Linked DNA regions of Notamacropus eugenii. The protein of the gene in region 2 purifies or fractionates together with the protein of the main gene of each other region. This does not show direct contact. Links are inferred from orthologs where the notes say so. Each region holds a gene or a part of one and is shown on either strand. Other genes may lie near its edges. The genes, in order: ABCD3 and PTPN1.

Region 1 (15,009 bases), on a different chromosome or scaffold from region 2:
TTTTATGGGGGGGTGGGGAAGGGAGAAATTCTCTCTGTGTAGAGTTTCAGTAGTGGGTATTGTACATTGCTGAGAACACATTGTAGTCCCTTCCAAAAAGGAAAACTGTGAGTCTGCCAAAAATCCTTCTCTGAGCTTCAGATTTGTTTCAAGTTACAGAACCTTCTTTCATACTTTCACAGTAACAATTTCGTATATAAAATACTAAGAATAACCAGTGGAAAACAAAGTACAGTAATAAGATGCTAGGAGGAATAATGTTAGACTCAAATAATGTAAGCCTCGGGAACAATGAGGCAGGCCCAGAATGTCTCAAAATATCTTCCTCTATGGGGGTGGGGAAATGGAATAAAGTCGTTCCAGTTATACATTTAAAGAAAAATGATAGTTAACTTATTAAAATTATTTAGCTATATTATCTCTTTATACCTATCTATTTATTGTTTCCTTCATCAGAATATAAATTTCTTGAGAGTAAAGATGGTTTCATTCTTTGTATATGTACATGTATCTCCAGTGCCTGGTTCAGCACCCAGCTGAGTCACTGAATATATATTGGTTGGTTGCTGTAAATATAAATTATAAAACTGTGTTTATATTATTTTTCATATTAAGAAATAAAATTACTTTTAAAAACAAACAAACAAAAAAAGAAATAGCTGTCATGTGGTCCAGAAGTACATACCATAGTACCTGTTCCAAAGTCCTTTTTCTTTCAGGTAAAGATTGATTTCTATAAAGATTCTACAAGGAATGCAGTCATTCCTTCAGGTAAGTGACTTTCTCAGCTTGGTACTTTTTCTGAACTTAAATGTTCAGAAGTACCACATTAAATGTGGGTAGCCAGATGTGATGGAAAAGAAAACACTTGACTGGCTTGCTTTGAAGATTTGCCTGGAAACTATTTTTATACTCAGGTTTCCTTTAATCCTCAGTTCTAATGACTTTGTTTAATTCAGCTTAACCTGTCACTTCCTGTCCCAAGTGTTAGACTCATTTTGGTTCTTGATTCTGAACCAGACCTCACTTAAGATGACTATTTTATATGACTTGGACCAATCTATGATCACTACTAGTTAACAAGATCATCATATAATTTTTTCTAGTATTAACTCTCTAAACTGGCCTGGTATGGCCATCAAAACAGCTGTCTTTTACAGAGAACTTGAAAGTTTGCTAAGTACTTTATTATTGTTGTCCAGTCATGTTGGACTCTGTGATCCCATTTTGGGATTTCCTTGGCAAAGATCCTGGAGTGGTTTGCCAGTTTCTTCTCTAGCTTGTTTTACAGATGAGGAACCAAGGCAAATAGGATCAAGTGACTTGCCCAGGGTCACACAGCTGAGGACAGATTTGAACTCATGAAGTTGAGTCTTCCTGATTCCAAGCCCAGTGTGCTATTCACTTTGCCACCCAGTTGCCAAGCACTTTATACACACGTGATATAGTAGATGAGGCATTGGACTTTGAGCCAGGAAGGTCTAGGCTTGCATTATATCTCATATGCTTACTAGTGGTGTGACCCTGAGCAAATACATCACTTAATCTCTGTGAGCTTCATAGGACCTTAAGGTGAAAGGGACCTCAAAAAACCATCTCATCCAACTCCCTCATTTTACAGATGAATTATCTGAGGGTCCAGAAAGGTTATGCCCAAGGTCAAACATTGTAAGTGTAAGCTAGACTTCAACTCAGATCCTAAGTTCAGTGTCCTTTCAGCTGTAGCATAATGCCTCTTTGAACTTCCTCATCTATACTACAGGAATAATAATAGTACCTCTCTCACATAGAGTGATTTCAAAGACCAAATGAAATAACCATAAAGTGCTTTGCAAACCTTGATCTCCAGTCATCCAATTACTGTGGATTTTGTGGGAAAGAATGTAATATGGCAGGTCTCTGTGCAATTAGGGTTATATTATCTACTAATAGGAGCATTTGGAAAACCTTATTCATAGCGTGGAATCTTCCTCCATGACCTTAGCAAACATTGTAAGGTAAACTGTGTTTTATACCTTGTTTGTTGTTAATACTCACTGGCTTATTGAATCAAGTGATCTCTGTAGTTTCACTTGTCAAAGGATATTATATAATTTTAAAATAAATTTGAGTGGGAAGTACTTTGAGAAGAGTCTTCAAAGCTGCATTTTGGTAAACTGATGAAACATTAAAAATACATATATTATATATATGTTTTTAATGTATGTTTAGATATTTGATATATATTTTTAAACAGGCACCTACTGTTACAAAGAAGTTAATTGATGATACATTTGTTAAAAGCTAACTTAGATCTACCGTGCCTTAGATGTACTCCCAAATCAAATATGTCAACATTTAATGTTGCTAAAACATCACTCTGTTAGAGTCAGTGAAGTATAATGGCAAGTGTGGCAGACTTAGAATCAAGAGACTGGGTTCGATTTCCTGGTCATCTCTACAATATGCTTCCTCCATCTCTGTAATCATCCCCATCCCCATCCCACATGATTCTTGTATTCCAGCCCTGGAACCGTACTGGTCTCTGAAGAGGGAGGGGAGATTTTTGCTTCATCTTATCCAGAGGCAGGCCTCCCTACTACTTACCATATAACCCACTTGAGCTTCCTTTCATGTGCTATGTTCCCTCATTAGAAGGTAATCTCCTTGAGGTAGGGGACTATCTTGTTTCTTTTTATTTATATCGACATCCTTCATCACAGGGCCTGACATAATGAGCACTGAAATGTTCTGTCTTTGTTCATTGGTGTCTATCATCCATCCATCATCTATCTACTTATCTATCTATCTATCTATCTATCTATCTATCTATCTATCTATCTATCTATCTATCATCTGTGTCTATCTAATATATATTAGCTCTGTGTCTATAGGAAAGTCACTTAAACTCAGTTAAGTACCACAGTTTCTGCATCTTTAAAATTGGTAAAACCTGAAATCTGAAATGTTTTCCTCCCATGGCTGTTATAAGGATCAGATGAAATAATGTAAGTAAAGTGCTATAATCAGTGGCATCAAATTCAAATAGAAAGAGGGGACAATGATCCATACTTAAGGATACATGCAGTTGCATATTGATTTAGTTTTAAGATGTAATCTTATTTGATTACATTTTTATTTATTTTATTAAATATTTCCCAATTATATTTTAATATGGTTCAGGTGGCAGTATAGAGTTTTTGGAGGGGGGTGGTAATTTATACCTTGGTGCTATATAAACATCAGTGTTTTGCTCTTTTTGGTTTTGGCTAGGACCTTTGATTTCACTGGCATGAGAAATCTATTTTGGAAAGTTCTATTAGACAACAATAATTTTATTTTTTGTTCAGACCTATGATTTCATTGGTAAATGAATCTCCCACTGGGGAAACTATCTCTACCAAACATGACTACCAACTACTCTGCAATTTATAGTCTTAGAGAGCTGTCTCCTGTACTAGGGAGTTAAGTAACTAGCCTAAGGTCATACAGCTAACATATCAGAAGGATTCAAATCCAGGTATCCATGACTCAGAGGCTACCTCTGCCACATTACCATTAAAATTATTACTACTGTTGTTACGACAAGAATAATACTACATTATTTGTAATCTTATATTATCTAGGCTGATACATCACTATTCACATTTTGGGGATTTTTTTCACTTCTAAAGAGCGTGTCTGCTCTAGTCTTGTGGTAGAACATCCTTAATGCAAAGTATGGGAGCTGCCTTGAGAACAGAGACTAAGGGGGGGTGCTATTACATCAACTTTTTCCCAGTTTGAGCTTCAACTCAGAAGCCTGGGAAACTCTTTCACCTGAGAGATAAGAATTGTTTGGTAGCTCTAATTGCGGGAAAGTTTTTCTTTCTATTGTGTCAGAAAATGTGGGAGCCTAGTGGTGGGGAAGTACCATTTCTCAGCTTCTCTGCATTAGCAGGTCATGACAAGGAACACTACAGAGTGGTAGGGTAGCCAATCTCCCTGGCACTAACATTTGGAGGTCACTGAGCAAGGCATGAGAGAGCCTGGGGGATTGGGGAGGTGGTGGGTAGTGTCAGTGGCTGATGATTATACTTCTTAGAACAATCACTGGCATTGTGTATGTAGGAAGCAGGGCTGGTCCATTAGTGCTGTTGATTCTTCTGAGGCTGCTGTTGTGGTTCTGCTAACAAAAATTTGAGAAAATATGACTAGGTACTACTTAGGAACTGGGGCTTGCCCATGGGTTAATCTGTTGTGTGAATAATTGTGTGGTTCTCTATGTATTTTATCCATAAGTTGGAACTAGAAGGGAAGATTTTTTTTCTATGTGTCTATCTGAGAAACTGGAGGTGTCTGGGGAGCCCCCACATGTTTTGTCTGTCAATGGATTGAGGAAGTAGACTGAGGAGAAAGATATAGGTAGCTAGGTGATATAATGGAAAGAGCGTTGGACTTCGAGTGAGAAAGATATGAGTTCAAATATTATCTCAGGCACTTACAATTGGTGAGATCCTGGGCAAGTCAGTTAAATTCTATCAGTCTCAGTTTCCTCAAGTGTAAAATGGGAATGATAAAAATAACACCTATCTCATAGGGTTATTTGTGAGGATCAATTGAGAAAATATATGTAAAGAACTTTGCAAACTTTAAAGCAATGAATAAGCATGAATTGTTATTAAGACTGAATCAGTTGTCATCATCCCAGGAATGGTGTTAGACTGATCACAGGCTAGGTTTAGTGGTATGCACCTGAAGAAACCTATGGGTCAGGCAAAATAGCAGTGCAGCAGAGTTACATGGCATATTGGGCTGGAATTTTTCTCTCTACAATTTCCATTCATTGATCCTATTCTGCCCTTTGAATTACATAGAATAAGTCTACTTTCTCTTTGGCATATAACAGCTTCCCAGTTTTTAAAAGACAGCTGTTACATTCCCCTCAAGTTTTTCCTTCTTTATACTAAATACATACCCTTCCCTGAAAGATGCCTCATGTATTAAGTGACATCTCTGGTATAGTACAAAGAATACTATATGTTGAGTCAGAAGACTTGGGTTTGAATGGTGGTTTTTCCACTTACAGCCTGCTGCATATTGGGTAAGTCACTTGACCTCCTGAGGTCAGTGTTTTTCACTTCTAAAATGATAGCACTGGACCACATGATCTCTAAGGTCCCTTTCAGCTCTAAATCTATGAGCCAATGGCATGCTTTCAAGATCCTTTCTCATTTCTATCACAGTCCTCTGGACACTATTAATTTGTCAATGAGTTTCTTATATGATTATCAGACTAGGTACCATAGTTAAGGCATGATTTTACTAATGAAAAGTATAGTTGAATTATTACCTCCCTTGATCTGGACACTTTTTAATTAATAAGCCTCAGATTGTATTAGCTTTTTTAGCATCATGCTGACTCATACTATGCTTGTGTTAAACTAAAAGTTCTAGTTTTTCTACATGAATTACTGTCAAAAGAGATCTCTATCATACTCTATTGATGTAATTAGTTCTTTGAAACTAAATTCAGGACTTTGTATTTATTCCTTTGAAATTTCATCTTATTCAGTTCAGCCCATTAGTCTAACTTATGAAGATACAATTGTATCCTTTTCACTAATTTAACATTATCTATTTTGTATCATATACAGAATTGATTAGAAATCTTTCTAAATCTTCACCTGAGTCATTTATAAAAATAATGACTAGGTCATAGACAAAGTCCTATGGCATGATAAACATTCTTTCTGGACAGTTGTTACCAATGAATGAACTACGAATCTACCCAAATAAGTACTATTATCTAGCCCATGTTATTTAAAAAATAAATTGTTTTGCCAATCAATCAAAAAACAAGCATTTATTAACACAAAGGTGAAATTGTCCCTACCTTCAACGGGGGAGATAATACATAAAGATGAAGGCATGTAGAGAATATATACAAAGTAGTGATATTAGAGAGATGCACTCAATTGAAGACAATTTCAAATGCCGGAGAAATGTTATCCTTGGCTTCCTTCAAAACAGAGTTCAGGGATCGCCATTTCTTGGAGGCCTTGCCATATTTCCTCTCCCCCATCCCCTCAACTCTAGTTGTTTATGCTCAACATGTCCTAGAATTACTTGGTAATTTTGCATTTATTTATTTATATGTTGTATCCTACAAATAGAATGTAATCTTCTGGAGGTCGGGAACTGTTTTACTTTTTTGTCTTCATATCTCCAGGACCTAGCCCAGTGCTCTGTGTGTGTATGTGTGTGTGTGTATGTGTATGTAGGTGTACATATGTCTATATATACATATAGTGAGTATATGTTACATACATAAACAAATACATAACACACACACGTATATTTGTATATAGTGGGTTCTTAACAAGAATTTGTTAAATTGAAGAAAGCTAAGGAGTCCAAAAGGCAGAGGGGAGGATGGAAGATATTACAGGCAGGCAGGGCAGCCCCAAATGACTTGGGAGACAGTAAGTAGGTCAGTTTGACCTAAGGGCTACATCTTCCTCCTTTCAGTTCATCTCCAAAACCCCTTGATCTCATTGCTCACACACTCTTCCTTTCCTCTAGGCTCTGTTAATGGAGTAGATCTTGCCTCTCCACCTGTACCTTGGAACCCATCTCCTCTTGTCTTCCTTAGCAGACTGTGTCCTTAAAACATGCCTGCTCCCAATGTTTAAACTATCTTCTAGTTGCTTCACTAGACCCTACCATCACTTCAAAACACTGCATGCCATCTCTCCTCCCTTTCTCAGACTTCTTGTTGTTTCCATTTCCTCCTTAAGTCTTTGCAGCCTGGCTTCGGACTTCACTGCTCAGCTGAAACCTCTCTTATGAACTGCCAAAGCAAATGGCCTCTTCTCAGTCCTTAACGTTCTTTTTGCCTCATTGGATACTGTTGACCACTCGATGGTCTCTGGACACTTTTGCCTCTCTGGGTTTCTTGATATGATTCGCTCCTAATTCTTTTACCTGTCTGCTCCTTCTCAGTCTTCTTTGCTGCCTTATCAATTGAACCACACCCCTGACCTGTGGGTGTTCCCCAAAGCTCTATCCTGGGTCCTCCTTTCTTCCCTCTCCATACTTTCTCTCTTGGTGACCTCATCTGTTCCCATGGATGTAAACAATCATTTCTATGCATATGACTCCTAGGACTATATATCCAGCCCCCTCTCTCTCTCTCCTGAGTTCTTGAGACAATAGGGAGCCATTGAAACTTCTTGGGCAAAGGAGTAAGAAAGTCAGACTTATGCCCTAGGAAGTTTATTTTAGTGATTATGTGAAGAAATGGCTAGAGAGAAGCAAGAGTGGAAGAGAGACTAATTAAGAGGGTATTACATGGTTCCTCCTTACCCTTCCCATATTCCCTCCTCAGTAGTAAGACAATGAATAACAAGGGTCTTTAGTATGACAAACTTCTTTACTAGAAGCATGAAGATATATATGGACATAAACATCACAGGCAGGCAGTTACAGGCAGGGGCAACTGACAATGCAGTCCAATTATGGTGAGCAGCTTACTGTAGATATATATCTCTACCTTGTCACCTGAAATCACTCCATTCTATAGCTCTACCAAGAAGTCTGAGCTCTTCTTAGTTTCACGCTGTAGCAAAAATTCCCTGACAATCAAGGGAAGCAGTATCCAGAAGAGACAGTTTTGGTGCCAGGAAGAACCGAATTCAAGTCCTACCTGTTGTATACATCTTGCCTGTGCAACCCTGAGCAAGTCACTTAAGTCTCAGTGCTTCAGACAACTCTTTAAGATTGTAAGTTTCTGCTCTTCATTGGTAACAGTTACCTTTATCAACATAACCACAAGCTCTGTCCAAAAAGACATTAGCTAGGTACCACTGAAGGACCAGGTCTCCGTGGCTCTTCCACATCTCTATCCCTTAGTGCTCCATAGCTCTGGTTCTTGCTTGGGTCAGCTCTTTTGCCATTCGGACTCACTCACCCACTCTCAATCCCCTGAAACTCTGGCGGTATATCTGTTTAGAACTGCTTTATCCTTTGCCTCGATGACCACTCCTCCAGGTCTGCCTACTCTAACCCTTCTCGTTCCATCTTGCTTCTGGCTGCTAGGGATCAGGGCCAAGCATATCACCCATCCTGCATTTAGCAAGACTGGAGAGGTGGGATAAAGCAAGGGTGACCTTTGTTCTACATTCTTGGGCATCCAAGCTGTCATGCTCCCTGAGTGTGCAGTCCTTTCTTAACTGGATGAGGTGTTCTTAAGCTTGCGGTCCACTATCTTCCTTTTCCCCACCCCGTTCCCCTAGGTTAAAAACTACAGCCTCCCTCGGAAACTGCTGGGACAAAGAAGGCACTATTCCATCTGCGAAGCCTTGGTCGCTTCTTGGAGGAGGGCAAGGAAAACAACAAGGTGCTGGGGCTACCTTTGCCCCATCTCCTCCGCACGCAAATCTGTAGTGGGGTTCACAGGAGACCACAAGGCAGACCCGTGTCCTCTTAGCCTCTTTCTCGCGGTGTGTGGGGTGGTACCTGGGCTGGTACAGGTGTGGAGAGGTCAGAGTGAATAGGTAAGGCACACTCAGCCTGTGCGTGCTCTTCCAGTTCTTAATGACGCCTGGGGAGTAGGAAGGGAATGTCGGGATGGTGGGGAGACAGAGTGGGAGGACGTTCGGGGAGGAGAGGTTCAAGTTCAGCCCGCTATAGCAGGCAAACAAGCGAGAGAGGTGGGCGCAAGGAGGGCGAGGCGAGGGCTTCCCAGGAAGCGAGCGCAGAGGAGGCGTGGCCAATGCGGCCGCGGGGCGGGGCACCAAGTGAGGCTAGGGCTTCCCAGCAGCTACGAGCCGGACGGGGGCGTGGCTAAGACTGGCGCGAGGCCGCGCGCGAGGCAAGGCGAGGGGCGGGCTCGCGTGGGCCCACCCCTCCGCCCTCCTCCCCCTTTCCCTCAGGTCTACCCAGGCTTCCCAGCCTTCCCCGCGCTTCCTCGGCTCGGGCAGTCGCAGCAGCGGGCGCGCGTCCCCGTCCCTGTCCCCGGCTCGTTCCGTGCTATGGCGGCCTACAGCAAGTACCTGACGGCGCGGAACTCCTCGCTGGCCGGGGCCGCCTTCCTAGTGCTCTGTCTGCTCCATAAGCGGCGCCGCGCCGCGGCCGCCGCCGCCTTCCGTGCTGGAGGCCCGCAGCACGGGTAAGCGGGACCCGCCGCCCCCTCCTCCTCGGGAGTCTGCCTCGCGCCCCCCCGCGCCTCCAGTCCCGGCTTTGGGGTCCTGCCAGGGCCAGCCTGCACTCGCTCGACGGGTCCCGCTCCCCGCGGGCCTCTGGGATTTGGGGGGTGGGTAGGGCTGCCCTCCCTTGACGTCCCCTCTCCCGTGCTCCTCCCCCTCCGCGCTCGCGGCCCTTTCCTCGCCCCAACTTTCCAGGGCGTCTTCGGCCTCCTCTCCCTGTACCCCGTGTGTGGGTGCAGGACCTGGCGCGGTTGGGGGCCCCGCCTGGGAGCCCCGCAGCCTGTGTCCGGGGCTGCCCCCGAGCTCAGGACAGTCAGGGGTCCGCCCCAAACCGTCCAGGAGGAGGGCGAGTCTGAGAACTCCCTTTGGAGCCCCTTGGCAGAGTCTGGTGGGAGAGCGATTGGTGCCCTTGGTCCGTGACTCGTTGTCGAGAGCGGCCGAATCTCGGGCCAGAGCCCGCGACGGAGCGGGCCGGGCCCTCCGCGGGTGCTTTCCGACTTCCCTGGCCTCAGCCGGTGAAGGGCGTGCAATCTCTTCCGCCGGCCAGGTGCAGGATCCAGGTCTCCTGCGCTCGGCTTCCCAGGCTTTCCTCCGGCAGATTTCACTTCTATTTTTAGGGTTCGGGAAACTGGAGGAGAGGGGTTCGGGAGTCGGCTTTGGTCCTCCAGAAGACGTTAGGCTTCTGTATATTCTTAGATAACCGGGTTTTTGGTGAAGTTACAGCCCAAAAGGCCCTGTGCCTTCCTCGGCATGTTGTGGGTTGGTTTGGTTTTTTAGTTACCATTTTATTTCATGAGAGCTGCCACCACTAAAATCTGGAGTATGAAGAAATTAAGTTTTATTCAATTGGAAGAAGTACAGCTAAAACTAGAGACCATGATAACAGCTGTTCAGTTCTATGCTATTAACGGTAGTTTCCCATAGGAAATAATTCAGAATTGCCCAAAAGACTTAGTGTGGTGAGAATTTTCACATTAAAAGGAGCATATTTGCGAGGGCAAAAACCTGACAACTGTTTTGTTAGGCACCGTAAGTAAAGCATACGTAAAGCAATTCACCGTTTTAAACTTAGTTGATTCTATTCCTCACCTAGAAATTTACCAATTAAAAAAAATTCTCAAATAAAAATATAATGTGACTTTGTATTAATATTCTCTCAGAGAGTAGTGCTTAAATAATAAGAATAAATGCGTTAATGTTTAGAGAGTAGATAACAGAATGAGATAGACCTTGATGAAAATTTTAGATATTTGATTGGAAGAACACTGGCATGTCATCATTTTTGTTAAAATCACACAAAATGACAATCCTTTCATTAGAAATTATGCAAAGCGTTTTGAAATTAAATTGGATTCTGGTGAATATATTTGAATAAGAAATCATTGCTTCATCATCTGTTGAATGGAAATAAAGAAGAGATTTGTAGGTCATTGATAAAATTGGGATTTAAAATAAAGAGAAACATGAAGCAAATGACTTTTAATCCTCAAAATATTTATAAGCTTGATAAAGATTTTAAAATGTTATTTTGGTGGAGGAGGTGAAATGGTCAAAACAGTTTTATAGGAATGGGACAGATCCTATGATTTCATTTGTAGAAATAACATTTGAATGAGGAAACTCCCTCTACCAAAGAAGGTCTTCACCTTCTCTGCAATTTAGAATCTTAGAGGGTTTCCTAGAGCACTGAGAGGTTAGAATCAGAAGGAGGACCTTAACTGGTGTTGTCTTGGTCTGCTCTCTCTGCCATGCCAGGATGCCTTTGTAAAGCTTTATAGGTCTACTGTGTTCCAAATTGTCTTAATTATCTTTCTGTAACCTGCTAAGACAAATGAACCTTTTGTATTACAGCCTGTGAAAATTGCCTGTTTAATAGGTGGAGTACTTATATTTAACTGTCCTTATGAATCTCTTTGATAATGGTTAATTAGATATATGTAAAGGTTAATCAAAACAGAAGTCCAATGGTCAAGCCTTTCCTTATTCTAGGCACTCAAACATGTTGGACACCAGAAGCCTCTGAAGTTGAGTTCTTGCAAAGTAAAGTGAAAACAGTTCTTTTGTTTAAGTTTAATCTTCCAGTCAGACCATTAGAAAATGAGCTGACTGGAAGTTGGCACCCACATAGAGCCTTTTCTATTGACCTGTAAGCCCTTCAAGGTACCTTGTCTTATCTAAAATTGTGTTTCCTTTAGTACCCACTTAGCACAATACTCCTATACACTAAGTGCTTAAGTACTTTATTGTTTTAGTTACTGTGGAGCATTTAACCCATAACTAGTTGATAAGAGAGCTACAGAAAATATGTAAATTATATGGTATCTCCTGCCTTTTGGACATTTTCACCTGGGTGATCTATGTAGTGCAGGGAACATACCTAAAACTGAACTCATTATCTCTTCCCTCCAGGCCCTTCCCTCTCTTCTAACTATTACTCTTCAAGATTACACCATCCTCTCAGTCACTGAGTCTCCCACACTAGGCATCATCCTTAACTCCTTACTCTCTTACATCCCCCTTCCCCAATATATAATCTCTTGCCAAGGTCTTTCAATTTTATCTTCATAACATCTCTTGTATGTGCACCCTTCTTTTTTTCTGAAACAGCCATCCCGCTACCCTTGCTAAAGTATAAGCTATCCTCATGTCTTAGCACATAACATTTAATTATGTCAATAAAACAAACATACAAAAAGTTTACAAATGTAAAGTAACTTATGATTAGGTAACAGTAAACAGTATAGATAATAAATGGTATAGAATTCAAGAGAGATCCATATAAGTGGTCAAGGAAGGCTTCATTAAGGAGGTGAGACTTGATTGGTGCCTTGAAGAAGGGGCAAGATTTTAGATATGTTTTTATATGGAAGAAATAAAATATTAAGGGTCATTCATTTGAGTTCATATTATGTTTATGAATTTTGATGAGAGGAAGAAGCTTTCTGTTCTATTCCTTAGACACTTGGAAAGATTATACAAAACCTATCAAGGTGATAGGCAGATTCATGTACCTCATTTAGGTTCTTTGAACCTAATTTGTAGGGAAAAACATTGATAAAGTATGAACAAGTAATCTGTCAGCTGTGAATGGTCATTATTAATTATATGGCAAAATTTTAATAGGATGGATTTATTAGATGCAGGAATATGAAATCCTAAAATACTTGGGTTTCTCCTCTATCTACCCTTATTCCTTCTCCAGCACCTCCATCCCCCAAATCCTTAATAAAAATGGTAAAATGTTTTAGAACATCTCAGAATAGCTAAACAGAAGTCAAGCCATGTGACCTGCCTTCCATGTTACCTTTTTCTTTTGGTTCTTGTACCTTTCTTACTACATACTTCTGTCTTCAGCCTGTGTAGATTACCCAAAGCTCAGTACTTGGCACTCTTTGTATTTTCCATCTTAGAACTCATTTGTAGAGCTTTAATGTTTTAGAGCTAGAAACTACTATAGAAATAATTTAGTCCTGTCTCCTTGTTTTACATATCAGGAAATGAAATCTAAGACTTTCCTGGCTTCAACTGCATCTTGTGAAGAACCTCTAGTCCTTTCATCTCCTACTCATTAGAATGCCCTCATTTGAGTAAGCTGTCAAGATCATCTTAAATTCATGACAACATGGCATAATGGAAAGAGCACAGACTCAGGAATCACAAGACCCAAGCTTTGCTCAGGCTTTGTCAAGTTGGAGAGTGAACCATAGGCAAATCATTTCACTTCTCTGGACTGCAGTTTCACTGTCTTTTAAAACGAAAGGATTGAACAAAGCAGTTCAGTTCTAAGTCTTGAGTGTAACTCTACAAGCATGTCATCTTTTCCTTGGAAATCAATGTACAGATTCCCTACAGCAGTTGAACTACTTTTTTCTCAGTAATCTTTGACTTTGCTCACTTTTCCCAAGTCTAACGTGTACATTTTGTCAGCTCTTACATTTTGATATTTCTCATTCATCTTTTCTTCACTGTCTTCACTATCATCACCCTCTTCTAAAGCCTGGGTAATTCATTGCTGGATTACTTTAGTAGTTTTCTAACTTGTCTTCCTACTGCCAGACTTTTTTTCCTCCTGTCTTCAGGCACATGTTTTTTCAGGGCTTACTATTTGCCAGGTATTGTGGTAAATGTCCTGGGGCAATTATCTGCCTTCGGGGGCTTATGGTAGAGTTGGAGATTTCACTTCATACCCAGCAAATTAGCAAAGATAGGATTGGTCAGTGATGGAAGAGGCAGGACTAAAGAAAGACAGGTATACTTCTACACTATTGGTAGAGTTGTGAATTAGTCTAACCAATTCTGGAAAGCAGTTTGAAATACATTCTAAAAGGTGACTGAAATACTTGACCCAAAGATCCCCCTACTAGACATATGTCCCAAAGACTGGTCAAAGATGAAGAGAAAGATCCCATATTAACCAAAATAAATGATTTTTGTTTTAGCAAATAATGAGAAATAAAGTAAATGCTCCTCAGAGTGGCTGAATAAATTGTAGTACATCAACATAGTGGAATGTCACGGTGCTGTAAAATGATAAATCGCAGAAATGCAGAATCAGAGTTGGAAGGGATCTCAGAGGCATATAGTTCAACCCATATATGAAAGGAATCCCCACTGTTACATAACTGACAATTGGTCATCCAATCTCTGCCAAAACACCTCTGAAGAGGGGAGAATGTAAATATGAAGAATTCAGAGAAGTAGATGATGGTGTAAATGAACTGATCTAGCCTGCAGTGAGCTGAACCAAGGAAAACAATATATGCAGTGACTACAACAATGTAAATGGAAAGAACAAAATAATTGAGACTGAATCTAATTTTAATGTAATTATGCTTTGTAATTAAAATTTTTTTTATAACCTAAATATGTTATAATGATGAAGCATGGTTCCAGAGAATAGGTGAGAAAATATACTTCCCTCCCTTCTTTGCAGAGTTGAAGGACTGTGGGTATGGAGCATCTCGTCTGCTTTCATATTCACTTCATGTGTTGGTTAGTTTTGCCAAACTTTTTTTTTTTTGTCTTTTTTATTCTTTTGTTACAAAGGATAGCTTGCTGGGGAGGGGACATTCAAAAATGAAGTTGATACAATAAAAGTAAGATCAATAAATATTAAGTAGTTTAAAAATATAGTTGGGGAGACAAGACAGACATGAAAAAGTGAAATGAAGTAAAGAGAGATTAATGCTATATGGAGAGTGCTCCATATATGTGTATCTTAAATCCTCATTGCATTCTTGTGAAGTAAGTGACCTCAGCAGTTTATAGAGATCCACAGTACTTAGAACTGGAAAGGATTTTAAGTTGTTTAAAGTATTAAAATTTTTTCCTGTCTTAACAAGCATCATAAACAACAACAACAACCCCAAAACAAAAAAGGACATTTCCGTTTAACAAAGTAGAATAGAAAAGGAGGTTCACACATGAGATGTAAAGTCTGTACTGTATACAACTTATTTCTCCTTTGGAAAGGACTTTAGAGAATATCTAATCCAACAATGAGAAAACTGAGGCCTAGGGATTACCTAGGGCTACACTGTAAATGACTAATGTTAAAGACAGAATATGAATCCAGATCCCTTCTTATTCCAGATCCATCCACTGCCTTTTCCATTATAGGCCATTGCCTTTAATAAGTCCTTTCTTCATAACCATATTATGAAGATTAATAAACTCATTTGACAGGTGAGGAGCCTGAAGCTAAGAGATGCTAAATAATTTCAGTCATTATTCCCAACTCTTAGGAATACAAAAGGAAAAATGAAATATTCTGTGCCCTGTAGGAGTTGGGAGGGGTAGGCATTGTGTCACCTATACAAGGTATTTAATCTTGGAAAAGAAG
Region 2 (15,248 bases):
CTTATACTTGTGCTTATTTTGGCCTGACCAAGAAAAAAGAGGTTCCCCACCAGTCACCCCCACATTATCCATACATGGAACCATAGGTTACAACAAATGGAAAAATCGTGAATAATGTGGATAAGTTCGCTTACCTTGAAAGCATACTTTCCAAGGATGAACACATAGATGATAAGGCTGACACACAAATTTCCAGAGCTAGCTCAGTGTTGGGGAGGCTCTGAAGGAAAGTGTGGGAGAAAAGAGGTATTAGACTGCCTACCAAACTGAATGTCTACAGAGCCCTTGTGCCTATCTCATTGTTGTATGCCTTTGAAACCTGGACCGTATACCAGCACCATGCCAGGAAACTGGCATTTGACTTGTCTTAGGAAGATTCTGAAGATCACCTGGCAAGATAAGGTACCAGACACTGAGGACTTTTCTTGAACTGAACTGTGAAGCATTTAAACTCTGCTGCAAAGAGCACAACTCCAACGGGCCAGCCATGTTGTTTGAACGTCAAATGTATGTTTGCCTAAAAGTCAATTTTATGGACAACTCACATGAGACAAGCATTCACAAGGAGGTCAGAAGAAGCAAAACAGTGGTACTCTCATTGTCTCTCTGAAGAACTTGAGAACTAATTGTGTGACAACAGAGACAGTAGCACAGCACTGCCCAGCATGGCATGCCCTCATCAAAGAAGGTGCTGTGCTCTATAAGCAGAATTACAGTAGCTCAAAGGAAATGTGAAATGTGCAAATTTAGAGACATCTCAACTCCAAATGTTCATATGGACTACTTGTGCCAATCTGTGATAGAGTCTTTCAAGCTCTAGTTGGTCTGATCAGCCACAGCTGGACACACTGTACCCTGACCCCAACACAGTGATGTCATCTTGGTCCTCTTAGAGAATAAAGGACAACAACCAACTATATATAAATAGGTATAGACCTATAATTTTATTGCTATAGGGAACTCACATTGTGAGAAAATTCCTCCAACAACTTATCTATCACTTAGAGTGTTAGGATTGCCTGGGGACCCTGAGAAGTTAAGAGAATCGTTTAGAGTCACACAGCCGCTAGGTTTCAGAGGCAGTATTTGAAATATATGTGTGTGTGTACACACACATATATGCACCAAAATAACCCTGAACCTCAATCAAGGGTAGAAAAAACAAAACCCACTGTGAAAACTAGAATTGAACTTCAGAAATAAAACTGTTCACTAATCTGGAAAAGGCATTTGAGTTCTGTTAGTTAGGAGAAGCAATGAGAGCAGAAAGAGGTGAGCTATGGCAATGATGAGCTGTCAGCCATGACTGTTCAGGGTGTGAACATGGGGTTTTAGACTCCACATCCAATGCTCTTTCACCATCCTATGCTGCTCTTTAGGTTTTACTTTATTGGAGTACCTTATGTGGATATAATGGAAAGAAAAGTGAAGTTGAGGTCAAATGATCTGGATTTGAAATTTAGCTGTACTCCTTCCTATCTGACTTGGAAAAGTCACTTACACCTCTCTAGGCCTCATTTCTCTCATTTGTTAAAAAAAAAAAAAGAGGGGGTAGTGGGGGACTGGACTAAACGATCTCCAAGGTATCTTCAAGATCTAAATGCTATGATATAAAGAACATGTAAAGGGTCTTTTTTTTTCTCCCTGGAAAGATTAAATTATTCACTACCTCTAGAAAAGACCTTGAGCAAGTTACTTACTTTTCTCATCCTTAGCTTTCTCATCTGTGAAGTGGCCATAAGAATACTGATATCACCTGGTCAATATATCAAATATGTCCACAGTAGAAAAAATTGAACCGAGAGAGAAGGATGGCCGCCTGCTCAGACACTTGGACATTAAGTGATTAAAAATGAGTTTAATTTGGAGTTTGCTTTGAGCATTTTCAGTAGCTCAGCAATTCTTCCTTGGATGTATTTTTGGAAATCTAATTCTCAATTCTCAAATGCATGTACAAGCTTACCCATAGTTGTAGAAGGCCACTACCATAATAGTAGTTAAAATTGGGGTATATCTTTGAAAGTATATTATGTGTCTCCAAAGATATATATTTTTGAAAATGAAACTCTGGTGCCAATACTAGCAAAAGATCTATAGCAATCACTGACCCTAGCATTTTCAAAGCAGTGGTTTTTATCAGGTAATAGCATATGGTCTTCAACAGAATTCACCACGTAAAACCCCTATGTAAATTTTGACAAGATGGTTAAGTGACTGTGGGCTAAACTAACTTTTTTGTGGTACAAATGTGGCAAACAAATGCTATCTTTTTCTTCCTCCCCTTCCTCTCTGTCCTCCCCTCACCCCCCATCATTCTGATATGTCACACTTTAGGTTCCCTTTTCTGTCTTCCTTTTTTTAAGGCCTCACTTCTAGAGAACTTCTTAGTTTCACTGCATTATCAGTTGTTATGAGAAATATTTATAACCTGCAGCAAGTTACAGCTGGCACCTCAACTGCTCAAATCTATCAGCTACTTTCAGCAAAAGAGGCCATTCTTCATACCAGTGATGCCAGGAGGTTCTTGCCCAGTCACAGGTGTTCTAATACTGTGCTGCTGCTGCTATTGCTCCCAATCCTATAATACTATCAAGGTATCTCAAAAGTCTTAGCGCAGTTTTTAGTAGCTTTTAAATAAAAGTTTAAGCTTCTAATAGCTTAAAACTGTAGAAGACTGTTGAATAGCCCTGTATAAGGAAAACATGTATACAGATAGCCCTTTTGTCAAGCACTTTATTTGAGCCTCACAACAATCCTATGAGATAGATATTATAGGTATTATTATCCCCATTTCATAAATGAGGAGACTATGGGTCAGAGAGATTAATCAACTTGCCCCTTGGTTACATAATCCATAAGTTTCAGAGGCAGGCTTTGAATCTAGGTCTTCTCGACTCCACATGGAACACGCTATCTACTACATCATCCTTCTCTCATTACCATTATTCCACCTACCAATAATTAGGTGACAGTGGATAGAGCCCTGAGTTCAAATGTGGCCTTAGAAACTTACTAGCTGTGTGAGTCCAGGCAAGTCTCAACTTCTGTCTGCCTCAGTTTCCTTATCCAGGAAATAATACTAATGGAGATTTTACCCCATTTCTGAGGATTATTGTGAAGATCAAGTAAATTAATATATATCACACTTTGCAAATTTAAATTGCTACATAAATGCTAGCTATTACTACAATTACCACCAATGATACCAATTCTACTGCTAACAATGCCACTATTACTATTATGACTGCTGATACCATCATTCCTATTACCATCACTGCTATCTGTACAATTGTACTGCTGCTACCAACACTGCTACTGGGAATACTACCATTATCATTGCTACTACTCCTACCAATACCATTATCACCAGGACTCTTGACCATGCTACTACTGCCACCCTTACTGTTACTAATATCATTCATTGATGCTGTAACCATTATTACTTCTACTACCAATATGAATACTACTATAGGACTGTACCTGTTTATTGAAAGACAAAATGCTAAATACTCCACAATGAGCAATATGAGAAACTGGCAAGAAAATAAGGGCACATGTAAAGAATCATAGAAAAAAATGATTCTCTCCTACAATATCCTTGAAAAATGGCCTAAAGATTTTGTGATAAGGAACTCCTAACCTCAAGAGGAAGCTCATTCTACTTTTTTTATGGCTGTAATTGTTAGGAAGCTGTTCCTTATGTTGAATCAAAATTAATCTCTCAGCAAGTCTTCTATTTGGCTTCCCTCCTTCTATGATCTCCTCTTCTCCAATCCATCTAATCCATAAAAAAAAAAAAAAAAGTTTTGACCATATCCAACTCTTACTAAGAAATTTTCCAGGATTCCTTGAAGATAAAATGCAAAATTTTTGCCTATCATTCAAAGTCCTTCACAATCTGCCTCTCACCTTTCTTTCCATTTCCTTCCATAATTCCCCTCCACATAGTCTATATTGTAGCCAAACTGATGCATTTGTTTTTCCCTAAACTCAACATGCCCTATCATGGCATATATCAACTAACTCTTTTCTGCCTCTTCAAATTTCTCTTTAGGGCTCAACTAAAGTGACAATTCTTATTCAAATTTTTGATGCCCCCATTTGTTAGTAAGTTCTCTTCTGAATTGTGTGTTTGTGTTACTTCTCTTTGGATATGATGTCTAAGGTCTCTTTAAGCTCTGAAATCCTAGGATCATATGCTTATCCTTCCAGTTAAATGTAACCACAACATGAGCATTAATTATTTGTTTTTCTATCTCTAGCATGTAGCATGTCTTCTATATAAAAGGCATTTAAATGTTTTTTTTAAACTGAAAATAATTATCATGTTAAGCTCAACCGAAGTCTTTTCCTCTACAGGTTAAAACTCCCTAGTTCCTGCAACCAACCTCATATGTATGGATGGTTTTTATGCCATCTTCATTCTCTCTAGCTTATCAATGGCCTTCCTAAATGTGGCATCAAGAATTGAACTCAGTATTCCTGAAGTGTTCTGAGTAGAATGTGGCAGCCCTATCAACTCCCATATTCCAAATGATTCTATTAATGTAGACTTAAATCACAGTAGCTCTTTTGGTTCACATTTTAAACTGTTGACTCATGTTAAGTTTGCATTGCACTAAAAACATTGATTATTATCTACCCAAGGCTTACCCAACTTGTGCTTACATATCTGACTTGTTTTAAAAAACAAACATGGAATTCTTCCATTTATTCCTATTAATTTTCATCTTATTACATTTGGTCTATCGTTGTAGCTTGTCAAGGTATCTTGCAAACCCAATTAGGGTATACAATGTGTTAGCTATGTCTCCCTTCTTTATGTTATTTGCAACTTTTGTAAGTATGCCCTCTCTGCCTTCATCCAAGTCATTGATAACAGTGCTTAATGATCCAAGGACACATGCCTGGAGTACTCGAGACCACTTTCCAGTTTGATATAAATCCATTAATCACCACCATTCTGGGTCCAGTCTGCGATTCCATCTAACTATATTTGTCCAGCCCACTTTTTTTCTCTTGCTCACAAGCCTATTTTGAGAGACTGTGCCATGATTCTTTGTTGAAAACAGGAATACCTGTCTACACACCATATTTATCTATCAGTCAAGTAACACAATCAAAAAGAGGAGATGAAGTTAGACTCTCATTGCTTGTGCCCTTTGCTGGCTCAGAGTGATCACTTCCTTAAGTGCTCATAAACCATTTAAGAAATAATGTTCTAAAATTTTTGCCAGGAACTAGAATCAATATACTCCAAACTATTTATAGCAGGACTTTTTACAATAGCAAAGTCTTGGAATCAAAGCAGAAACCCATCAATTGAGGAATGTCTAAACAAATTATGGTAGAGGAATGCAAGGGAATATTATTGTACTAGTGAAATATGAAGAATTCAGAAAAACATGAGAAAACTTATACGAACTGGTACAATGTAAAGTAAGCAAAACCAGGAAAACAATGTAATGACAACAACAATGGAAATGGAAATGAAAAAAAAAATCAAAACTGAACACTATTTAATTATAATGACTAAACCTAATCCTGAAGAAGAAATATGAGAATGCACCTACCTCCCTTCTTTGCAGACTATGGGACACTGCAAAATTTTTCAAAAAGAAAATTTTTAAAAATGCAAGTGGGGTTCTGGGGCAACACTTACAAGTAACCACCTTCAATTACATTATATAATGTATAACACAAAATAGAGCCTTGGAACCCTTTTACTTTAGAGGCAGTGAAGAGTAGCTTACGTGGATATATCAATGGCCTTGGAGTCAGGAAGAACTGTGTTCAAATCCTGTCTTAGCTCAGGATTTACTCACTGTAAACCTTTGACATTCAATTTATGTAGGCCTAATTTTCCTCCTTTGTAAAATGTGGTATATAGGGGCAGTAGATTCTAATTGCCTCTAACATCCCTTTTGATCCTGAATTTATGATATAGGGACAATTGTTATTTCTTCTGCTCTGTAAATCCACTTTTGCCTTCCCTTATTTCCCTTTCCAGAAAAGGGGAGGGTGGGGGACATAACTACTTCTAATTATCATTTGCAGCTCTGTCTTTATTACTACCAAAGTGACCATGGTCACTTAGGGTCTGCATCTCATTAACACATACTCACCTCCCTAGAATAACATGTAGTGACTTCTTGGTCTCCCTAAACTCTCATATTCTTTTTGTCAATACCTTTCTCTCCGAAAAGTTGAGTGATAAAGATGTCAAATGCTAGAACTTACTATTTTTGCTTGTTTGTTTTTTGGTGGGGGTGTGTGTGAAACTTAAGGGTAGGGAAGGAAGTTGAATGGGGTTTAATGACTTATAGGAATCCATGTCAGGAAATAAAAGGGGACAGGGAGACATGAAAACAGGGAAGGCCTGAAAACTATCTATTAAGAAAGCTATTCATCAGATTGTGGCATAATACAAAAATTCCCTAAAGCGAGGAGTGAGGAGATCTGGATTCTAAGCCCAGGTCTGGCTTTGACCTTAAGCAAGTCATCTCAGATGTAAAATTAAAGATTGTACTTGATGACCTCTAAGGTCCTTTTCAATTCTAAATCTGTGAATCAATTATCTCTCTGGGTTTCAATTTCCTCATGTGTTAATTAAGGTTGTTAGACTATATCCTCTCTAAGGTCCCTCCCTACAAGCATTGTTCTGTGACTCAAGGTACATCTCCCATGTCAGACAGAGTGAGACAAGGCAAGTGGAGTTTCTTCAGTCTATGTCAGGGACATCTACCAAAGTAGAGTTGTACTCAATATACTTCATTCTTTAGTTTTTCCACTTGCAACTTGAAATTTAAGGGTAGGAATAATTGGGGTTCAGGGTGGAGGCAGAGGAGCAAAGAGTCTTGATTAAAATTACTAAACATGCCTTCAGGTAGGTGGAACAGAAAAATCCATGACGAAGTACATGGTGCCCACAGCCAGGATTCCACTGGCATTGATTAGGGAGTAGAAGGTAGCTTTAAGTGAAGTGTATAGCCATCATTCTACAATGTCAACTACTCAAAGAATTTTTTTTTTGGTTAATGGCTCATTGACTGCTGGATCAATGAGACAGGGTTCAATCAACTCCCTGGGACCCTTTCCTCTAGCAGTGTTGCTTTTTAACCCGTCACCAAATTACCTATCAGAAAATACGGAATTGCCACAAGGCAGAACTGACTTACTACTGTCAGGCAGGCCTCCCAGGACCGCCGAGGGCTTCTCCGTAGGGCTGCAAGCACTGCTGGGGAGGAGGGGAGGACAGAGGGGCCCTGGCCAGTGAGTGCGCCCGTGTCCCCTACAAAACGGGAATGATGCTTATAGCGCCTGCCTCCCAGGGAGAGCGGGAGCATCGGATGATGCACCTGAAGGGCTTGGCCGGCTACGGTTAACTCCTGCAGCCAACCCCTTCGTTATGCAGAGAGGTAAACCGATCCAGAGAGGAGTGCCCCAGGGGCGCACAGCCAGTTTGCGACAGATCTTCTGGGTCTTGCCCCTCCAATTCGACGCTAACTGACCTGCACCCAGTTTCTCCGCCCTTTTTTATAAAATAAGTTAGCAGTAATTGAAAGGGCCTGTTGTTGGAGCGGATCTGGGAGTCCGCTCCCTTTCACACCTTGGAAAACTGAGGCTGGACAAGTGGGAGGGCACCTGACTCATCTCAAGTCACGCAGGGAGTCAGGAAGTTTGGCACCCCATCTACCAACCCACACACTAGGGCACGCGCCCAAGAGGACACCGAAGCCAGGTGGCCGCCACGGGGTCGCCTAGGTAACCGCGAGCGCGCTCATAGCTCGCTACACCGGAAGTCCGGGGAGTACGGGGAGGGGAAGGGGAGCTCGGAGCGCGACGTCTCGCGGGACCTGACGAAAGCGCAGCAAGGAGGCAGAAAGGGAAGTGTCCCCCCCCCCACCCTTCGGGACCTCCCTCTGGCCCCGCCTCCCTCGGAAGTCCCCCGCGAGGATTGGCCGTCGGCCCGGGGCGGGGCCTGAGGCAGGCGCGGTGCGTACTTCCGGCTGCCGGGTTGACATGAAGAGGCAACGGAGGTGGTTGAGGAGGCGGTAGCGGCGGCGCCCGGTTCCCGGGGGGTTGAGGGCTAAGGAGGGTCTGAGGTGGCGGGGAGGGCGGCCCCAGAGCTGGAGGAGGCGGTGGAGGGCGGCGGCGCCGGCGGCGGAGGAGACCGACCAGCGGGAACGAAGAGAGAAGCCACACCCGCCGGCCTGGACGTCTTCGAGATGGAGAAGGAGTTCAACCAGATCGACCAGGCCGGCAGCTGGGCGGCCATTTACCAGGTGCGGGAACGCCGACCCCGGGCACTGGCTCCTCGGACTCGGGGAGGCCTTAGTATCATCTCCTCCCCTCAGTCGGGGGATGCTGCTGGGGACGCAGACTCCAGACGGGTTGTCCCTTGGCCCCGCCACCCCCAGGCCCGTACCTTTCCTGGGCCCGGACCCTGCCTTCACGTCCGACTGGACTGAGGTTTTCGTCCTTTTCTCCCCCCAGCAGATCCTGACAGTGCTTCCCCAGGCGCCCCATCCCCCCCTGTTTTGTTCTCGGAGGCGAGCGTGCTCTTCCCCCCGCCAGGACCTAGTAAGCCTCCCAAGACCCCCTTTGTTCCTCAGGTCCCACATCCTTTCCTGTAAAATTGGGTCCTACATGGCCCCTAACTTGTCCTTAGGTTGACATGCACACAACCTCTTTGGGCCTCAGGTTTTTCATCTGTAAAAATGATGGGGCTGGACAAAATGATCTTCACCTTCAAATCTGATCTCCTCTGACCCCATCTCCTAGACACCCATTCTTTGTCTCCTGGGATTGATTCAAATCCCCCACCCCCCCAGTTTCACCTCCCCCAGGAACAGGTTTGGATGCCAGGGTAATTTCTTCGATTATTGTCTCCCGGAAATAAGATAAATCACAATTTTCGCTTTCCCTCCCCTTTTCACCACTTTTCTCAATCCCTTTCACAGTTTTGGCCCAAAGATGGTAGAACCCTTTTCTACTAGGGTAGCTTATGAGAAGTGGCCTGTTGTACCATCAGTCTTTGGCATCACAGATTGCCTTCCAGACAAGGATCATAAAAGAGGAAAAAAGGAAATTGAAACTCCTCTAATCCATACTAAATTAGGATGAGTTGCATATCTATAAGGCAAATAATCAAAACTTGCCACCTTGCACTTGGTTAGTTCTGCTGATATCTTGTCTTGTATGACCTGCTTAGGATGTGGTGGTGTATAAGTGAAGTTGGTTTTTTTTAAGTATTAGGTCAGGAATATGAAAAGAGATAGTTTACTAGTAGCCAACTCTTCTAAAGAAAATGTAATTGTGTGGAAGAGAGTTGGGGGCGGGGATAAAGGTTAATAAAATAGTGTCTTAGCACAACAGAAAGTAAAGAGGGTTTTGCCCCCTTTTGTAAAGGGAGAAACCTACATACTCAGTTTCAAACAATCTTGACTTGAGCTTCAGTTAAGCTCAAAAACAAATTGTGAGCTCTACTGCTAGCGTTTAAAAATCTATTTTGAAATCCTTTTTTTAAAAATGCTTTAAGCTGTTAGTGACTGATAAAAGGCTTTTGGGCTGCCCAGGGCTTTTATTCTGATTTGTTTCAACTGCCTTATTTGAGAGCATTCTTTTTTGTATCAGCTCTTGATGGAAATGAGTTCATATATTGCCAGGCTTTTGTAATCTTTGATGTTAGGAATGCCAAATTTAGATTCCTTGTTTATTACGTCTGTAAGAAAACAAAATTCATTTTACTGGCAACTGGCGAATTTCTGGAGGATGTTTTTAATAGGAAGACTAGAGCAAAACTGCTTCTAAAAAGTAACTAAAGTTTATGATTGGATGTATAAATACATGTATAAATGTAGGAATGTATAAATGTATGAATTTGTCTTTATAGTTAGACCCTTCCTTCTTAGGGCACAGTATCATTAAATCCCAACTTTTCCTTAGTGAAGTTTAAGTAATGATGCTAGTCAACATAGAAGAGAAGCTTTTAAAAGATTAACCATGCTAGACCCTCAAAAAAGGTTGTCACATTTCTACTAGGAAAGTTATGTGATTGGTTTAAAATAGGATCGTCCGGCCTCTTTGGCATTGCTGCAATACTGGAGGTGGTTTCTATGACCTTAAAAAAGTGTGGAGTCTTTTCCCTCACCTCTTAATATTTACTTTTACTGTCCTGAAAATTAAAAATTCTTCTCCATTGCAAACTGTTAAGTTGTTTCTTATTATAGAACTAAACCTTTAAGGTGTTTTTAGGAAAAGATAAGATGTTTCAGAAAAAGAGATGAAACTGATCTATTAAATCTTAGCAGAGTAGGGAGTTTTTATCTTTATATATCTACTCATTTTAATCCATTATTTTCCCAAGAATGTAGAAAAGAACATATGCCAGCAGTTAGTGGAGAATCAAGGAATCTCAGATTTTCATGGCATTATATTTTTATTATAAAATATTTCTTAATAGTACAACTGAGAGGCAGGCTTGCATATTAGGGTGCTGGGCTTTGAGTTAGAAAGTTTAAATCTGACACATAATAATTGTGTAACTCCAGACAAAACACTATGCACCAGAAATTGTTTTAGCCCGCAAATTATAGGTAGATGCTTATCTACACTGGTGGAGGAAATTTTTGTACTGGAAGTTCCAAAAAAAACCTGATGAAATCATGGGTCTGGGCAAATCAACATGCTCTGTTGCTTTTGGAAAATATGGTTAACTTTTAGTTTGCTAAGTGCATTAAGTTACTGTTAAAATTTGGTAGCATCTTTTTATTCCTCACCAAAAAAGCAAAACAGATTTTCTACTAATGAACAAAAACAGATAACGGAAAAAGGACTAAATGTGAAATAGGAAGAAGTCTCTCTTTGGGTTCAGACTAATGTGGCAGGGAAATCCTGCTTTAGCTGCTTGGTCAAGCAACAGTCTGTGTTCATTCCGTTTGGTAGGGTGTAAACAATGCTTTGGAATTTTGAAGTTGATCAACAGTACAAATATCAATAAGCATTCACACTAAAAAACTACCTTGGTGATAAATAGCATATTGGGGCAGTATTTAAAATTCATTCTTTAGCATTTAAGCAATTATATCATGTTTGGGAAAATTGAATGCTATTTGGGCCATACCTAATGGGATTGAGCTGGTGAGACTAGAAGAGCACAAGCATGAAAAGAAACACTGGTCTTGGAAAAAGAGCTGAAGGAAGGTAGAAGAGGTCTTGAAATGAGTAAAAAAAATTAGTAAAAAGATATCCAGTAAGACACAGTCCATATACATTTTGTGGTATAAATGAAATTATTGTTACAATATTTATAGTTTCAGTTTTTATGAAACAATAGCCAGTGGCTTAAAGGCAGGATTTATTGCACATTATAGACAAGTTCACCCAGATTGCCAGCTTTAATAAAAAAAAAAAAAAAGCAGAAACTAGCTATATAGGAGAGTTAATGACTGATTTTATTTGTTCTTCAGTCATTTTTCAGTTGTATCTACCTCTTTGTGACCCTATTTGTGGTTTTCTTGCCAAAGATACTAGAATGATTTCCCATTTCCTTCTCCAGTTCATTTTACAGATGAGGAAAGTGAGGCAGACAGGGTTAAGTGACTTGCTCTGGGTCAACCAGCTAGTATGTATCTGAGGCCATACATGAACTCTTCAGGGAAATGAGTCTTCCTGACTTTAGGCCAAGCACTCTATCCATTGCACCACCTAGCTGCCCTAATGACTGATTTAACCCTTAACAAAAATATATGTTAATGTCTCGCTAAAATTCCTTAATACTGTTATGTATATCTGGCATATGATACTCCAGTGGGATGGGATATTAAAACTTTATGATACTGTTTGTTTAAAGAACATTGTCTACAAGGAAGTAGTACTTTGGGGGAAAATAGAAAAGAATCTGTACAGTATGACATGTTTGTCATTCTGTTTAAAAAGATGAAATGAATAGAATAAGAAGTTTTAATCATCTTCAGTGACCTATTAATTCTAAATGGTATTTAGACTAGAACAAAACAAGAACTAATTTTAATTGTCCATAACTTTGGAGATGGCATAAAACACTTATAATCATCGGTATTTTGAGCTAATTGGAAGCACCAGCAGATATGGTGGAGAGGAGAATAACTTAGTGCCATTATTCAGTTGACATCACTGACATATTTATAGGAATGAATGCCTTGGTACATTTGGAAGTGAGCAAGCTCTGACAGCGACTCCTAGAAACATTCAGAGGACAATGATTATGAAAATCGTTTTCAGTTGTGACATTGTCCTGATTCTCCACCCCCTCGCCCATGTAACTGAATTTTTCTTTTTAATATGAAGGCTCTACTAAGCCCTGTAATAATGCGGTTGAATTATTTTACTGCATACTTTATATAAAGAAATAGGAAACTTCCATTAGAGATTTTGGATATATAAATTGCTTTTCCCCTCTCCTCTAGTATATGAGATTTTTCGCACTGTCCTATTTTGACACTACTCCTTTAAGCTGCAGTATATGACACAAGTGTGTATATTGAGTCATTTGTATTTTGTGAAAACATAGACCTCTTGCATAAGTTGGCATTCTCCTTACAATGTCAAGTTAAATTGCTTCTGAGTTTATCCTAATTAGTTTCAGCAAGTAGGTTACAGAAATTCCTTTACTGTGATATGTTCAGTGAGGTTGGTGCTGGAGTTGGTTTGATTTTAAGGAAAAATGTATTTTATAATATCAGATTTAAGATTTCTAGGCAGCATCTGTGCCGGCTTCCTTAGCAGTAATAGAGCCTGAATACAGATCATCACTCAGGGAGGAAAATAGGGACATAATACAATGTGTTCTTATATTCTAATTTGTCATAGGCTTGTGTAAGTTCTTAGTTACCTAGAATTTCAGAGCTAGGAGAGATCTTAGGATTTTAGACTTAGAACTAAAGAGGACTTAGAGTTTCTCTAGTTCAGCCTTTCATTTTTACAGATGAAAAATCTCTAAACCTAGAGACGTTAAGTAAGTTGCCCAAGGTTTGTTTCTTCAGGTTTGTACCCAGCCAAGCCCTCATCCCCGTTCCCTTAGTACAGCCCCTTCGTTTTGTGGATCAAGAAATAGGCCCAGAGAGAGGAAATGACTAGCTACCCACATGATTGATGGAATCAAGACTAAAACCCAGAGCTTCTTATTTTTTGCATAATACCAGTTGTATTCTCCCAGGAGGGACATTTCAGAGAATAAGCTTTTTCCCCCCTTTGTGCCAAAAAGAAAATCTTATTATGTCCTATTGTTCATTTTGTATTGACATTTATTGAGCACCTACTTGGCACATACATTGTTTTAGATTCTGAGGAGGATACAAAAATGTATGATAATGATTTTTGAAAAGGACTTGTATATATGCAAGAATTTGGAATTGCTTGTTTTGTTTCTTAGAAGCCATCAGTAAATTTATACTTGGCTTGTGATGAATTTAACTGTCACATGGGAAGTGGAACGTCTTGGTCTTTTTATCAACTTCTGAATCATGCTGTAACTTTATGATGTTATTTTTAGATTTGGTCTCAGTGTGCTATAGAGCTATGCACATAGTAGACTCAAAATATTTGTTGAATTACTAGCATCAAATCTATCCACATCTCCAAAAACTAGATACATCTTAACATCTTACAGATGTCTTATGTTTTCACAAAACAGTGCTCTGAGAAATATTTCTGAAACCTCAGAATAAATAATCTTTTGAATCAGTGAGGAGTCCAGTCTTAAGCATATTCAAGGTGATGTAGTAGAAAGGGTAACCAAATCTGAATTTCAGAAAGCACTTTGTACCTTCCTAATGCCCTTACATGATATTGTCTATTAAAGTGATTTGTGTTTGTTTCTTTGATATAAAATGGGAAACAGAGGCTAGGTCCCATCTTATCTCCCCCAACAGGTAGCATAGTATTCTGTACCCAGTAGCACTTTAAGGAATATTAACTGGCAATGAAAAGGACACTGGATTTGGAATTGGAAAGTTTGGCTTCTAGTTCCCTCCTTGCCAGTAATTGACATTGTGAACTTGGGGGTAACTGATTTCCTTTCATGAGGCCCCAGTTTCCTCATTTGTATAGTAAGGTGTTAGATTACTTTCTTTGCCCAGAACTGAGGTCTAAGTTCCTTTTCAACTCTAAAACTGTTTAGTGATATCTCATAGATTGTAAAGGGACTGGAAAAATCCTTGTAGAATTAAAATAGTACTTTCCTTCTTAGGATGTACCTAGGTTTATGCCAGTGCTCAAGACTTATTTTTAATACTTTTTTTTTTATCTTTGCAAAAAGTTTCTAAACAAATAAGCTTCATTATCCCTTCCAGTAAAAGTAGTTTTAGTAACATGAGCAAGCAGCATAACTTAGTCGCATGCATGACCTGTGCCTAAGTAGAATCTGAGTGGCTTTTCCTGTAAAAGATTGAGGAACTGATTCTTCAGAATTTACCAAAGACATCTGCTTGGCACTTAAAGAACAGTAGAGTTATGTTTTTATGTTGTAATTTTGGGAAAAGCCATCATCTGACATAAAATCAATATGAAGCGCGTGATATTTTTGCAAATAATTTGCTATGTTTTTGTAGAAAATACCTAATAAAGATCACCTAATAAGTGCCTAATAAAGATAATTCACTTGGATTGTTCTGACAATAGGGCAAGCTGTTCCCCGTAGAAAACTTTTTCTGTAACTACAGATGCAAAATTTCTTAATTGTCAGGGAGTAGTGTGAGGCCCACTTCTGCTATAATAATGACTGTCTTTGCATGGAAGCAGTTCAGTGTGCAGCTCTTTGTGATTGTGATATTGGTTTAAAAAAAAATCTAAGCTACAAAAATGGGAATTTGGTTTTCCAGTCATCCAGAGACCACCTGGATAGAATTTAATTCTTCAGAAAATCTCATATCTATTAGTGGCCTATAGGATAAAGAATCTACCAGCATATGAAGTTCACAGGTTCTTAGGATTTGGTAGGAGGGCAGTAATACCCCACCGTTAATCAAGGGAATTATAAACTTTTGAGTCCCTAATATATACATCAATTTGCTAGTGTTCCTGATGTACGAATAACTGATGATGCTAGCCAACTTGTAGATAGATAATTGACCTTACTATGAAGTAAAGAGATGCAGTAGCATAGTGGATCAAGAGCTAGCCTCAAAGCCAGAAAAACTTAGGTTCAAGGTCCATTTCTGGCATAAATACTGGCACCTTGGCAAGGATCCTGGGCAAGTCACTTAAGC

The links.
Region 1: the proteins of PTPN1 (region 2) and ABCD3 purify together in Homo sapiens (affinity purification with mass spectrometry; 3 studies listed by BioGRID and IntAct, with this or other methods). This does not show direct contact. The link is inferred for Notamacropus eugenii from reciprocal best matches to the Homo sapiens genes PTPN1 and ABCD3.

What each region holds. Positions count from the first base shown.
Region 1 is NC_092873.1:269,763,836-269,778,844, forward strand, and holds the start of ABCD3 (ATP-binding cassette sub-family D member 3), read left to right. Parts: upstream 1-8,877; 5' UTR 8,878-8,993; coding exon 8,994-9,130; intron 9,131-15,009. UniProt on the Homo sapiens protein: Broad substrate specificity ATP-dependent transporter of the ATP-binding cassette (ABC) family that catalyzes the transport of long-chain fatty acids (LCFA)-CoA, dicarboxylic acids-CoA, long-branched-chain fatty acids-CoA and bile acids from the cytosol to the peroxisome lumen for beta-oxydation.
Region 2 is NC_092872.1:516,306,587-516,321,834, reverse strand, and holds the start of PTPN1 (tyrosine-protein phosphatase non-receptor type 1), read left to right. Parts: upstream 1-7,988; 5' UTR 7,989-8,228; coding exon 8,229-8,285; intron 8,286-15,248. UniProt on the Homo sapiens protein: Tyrosine-protein phosphatase which acts as a regulator of endoplasmic reticulum unfolded protein response. Mediates dephosphorylation of EIF2AK3/PERK; inactivating the protein kinase activity of EIF2AK3/PERK.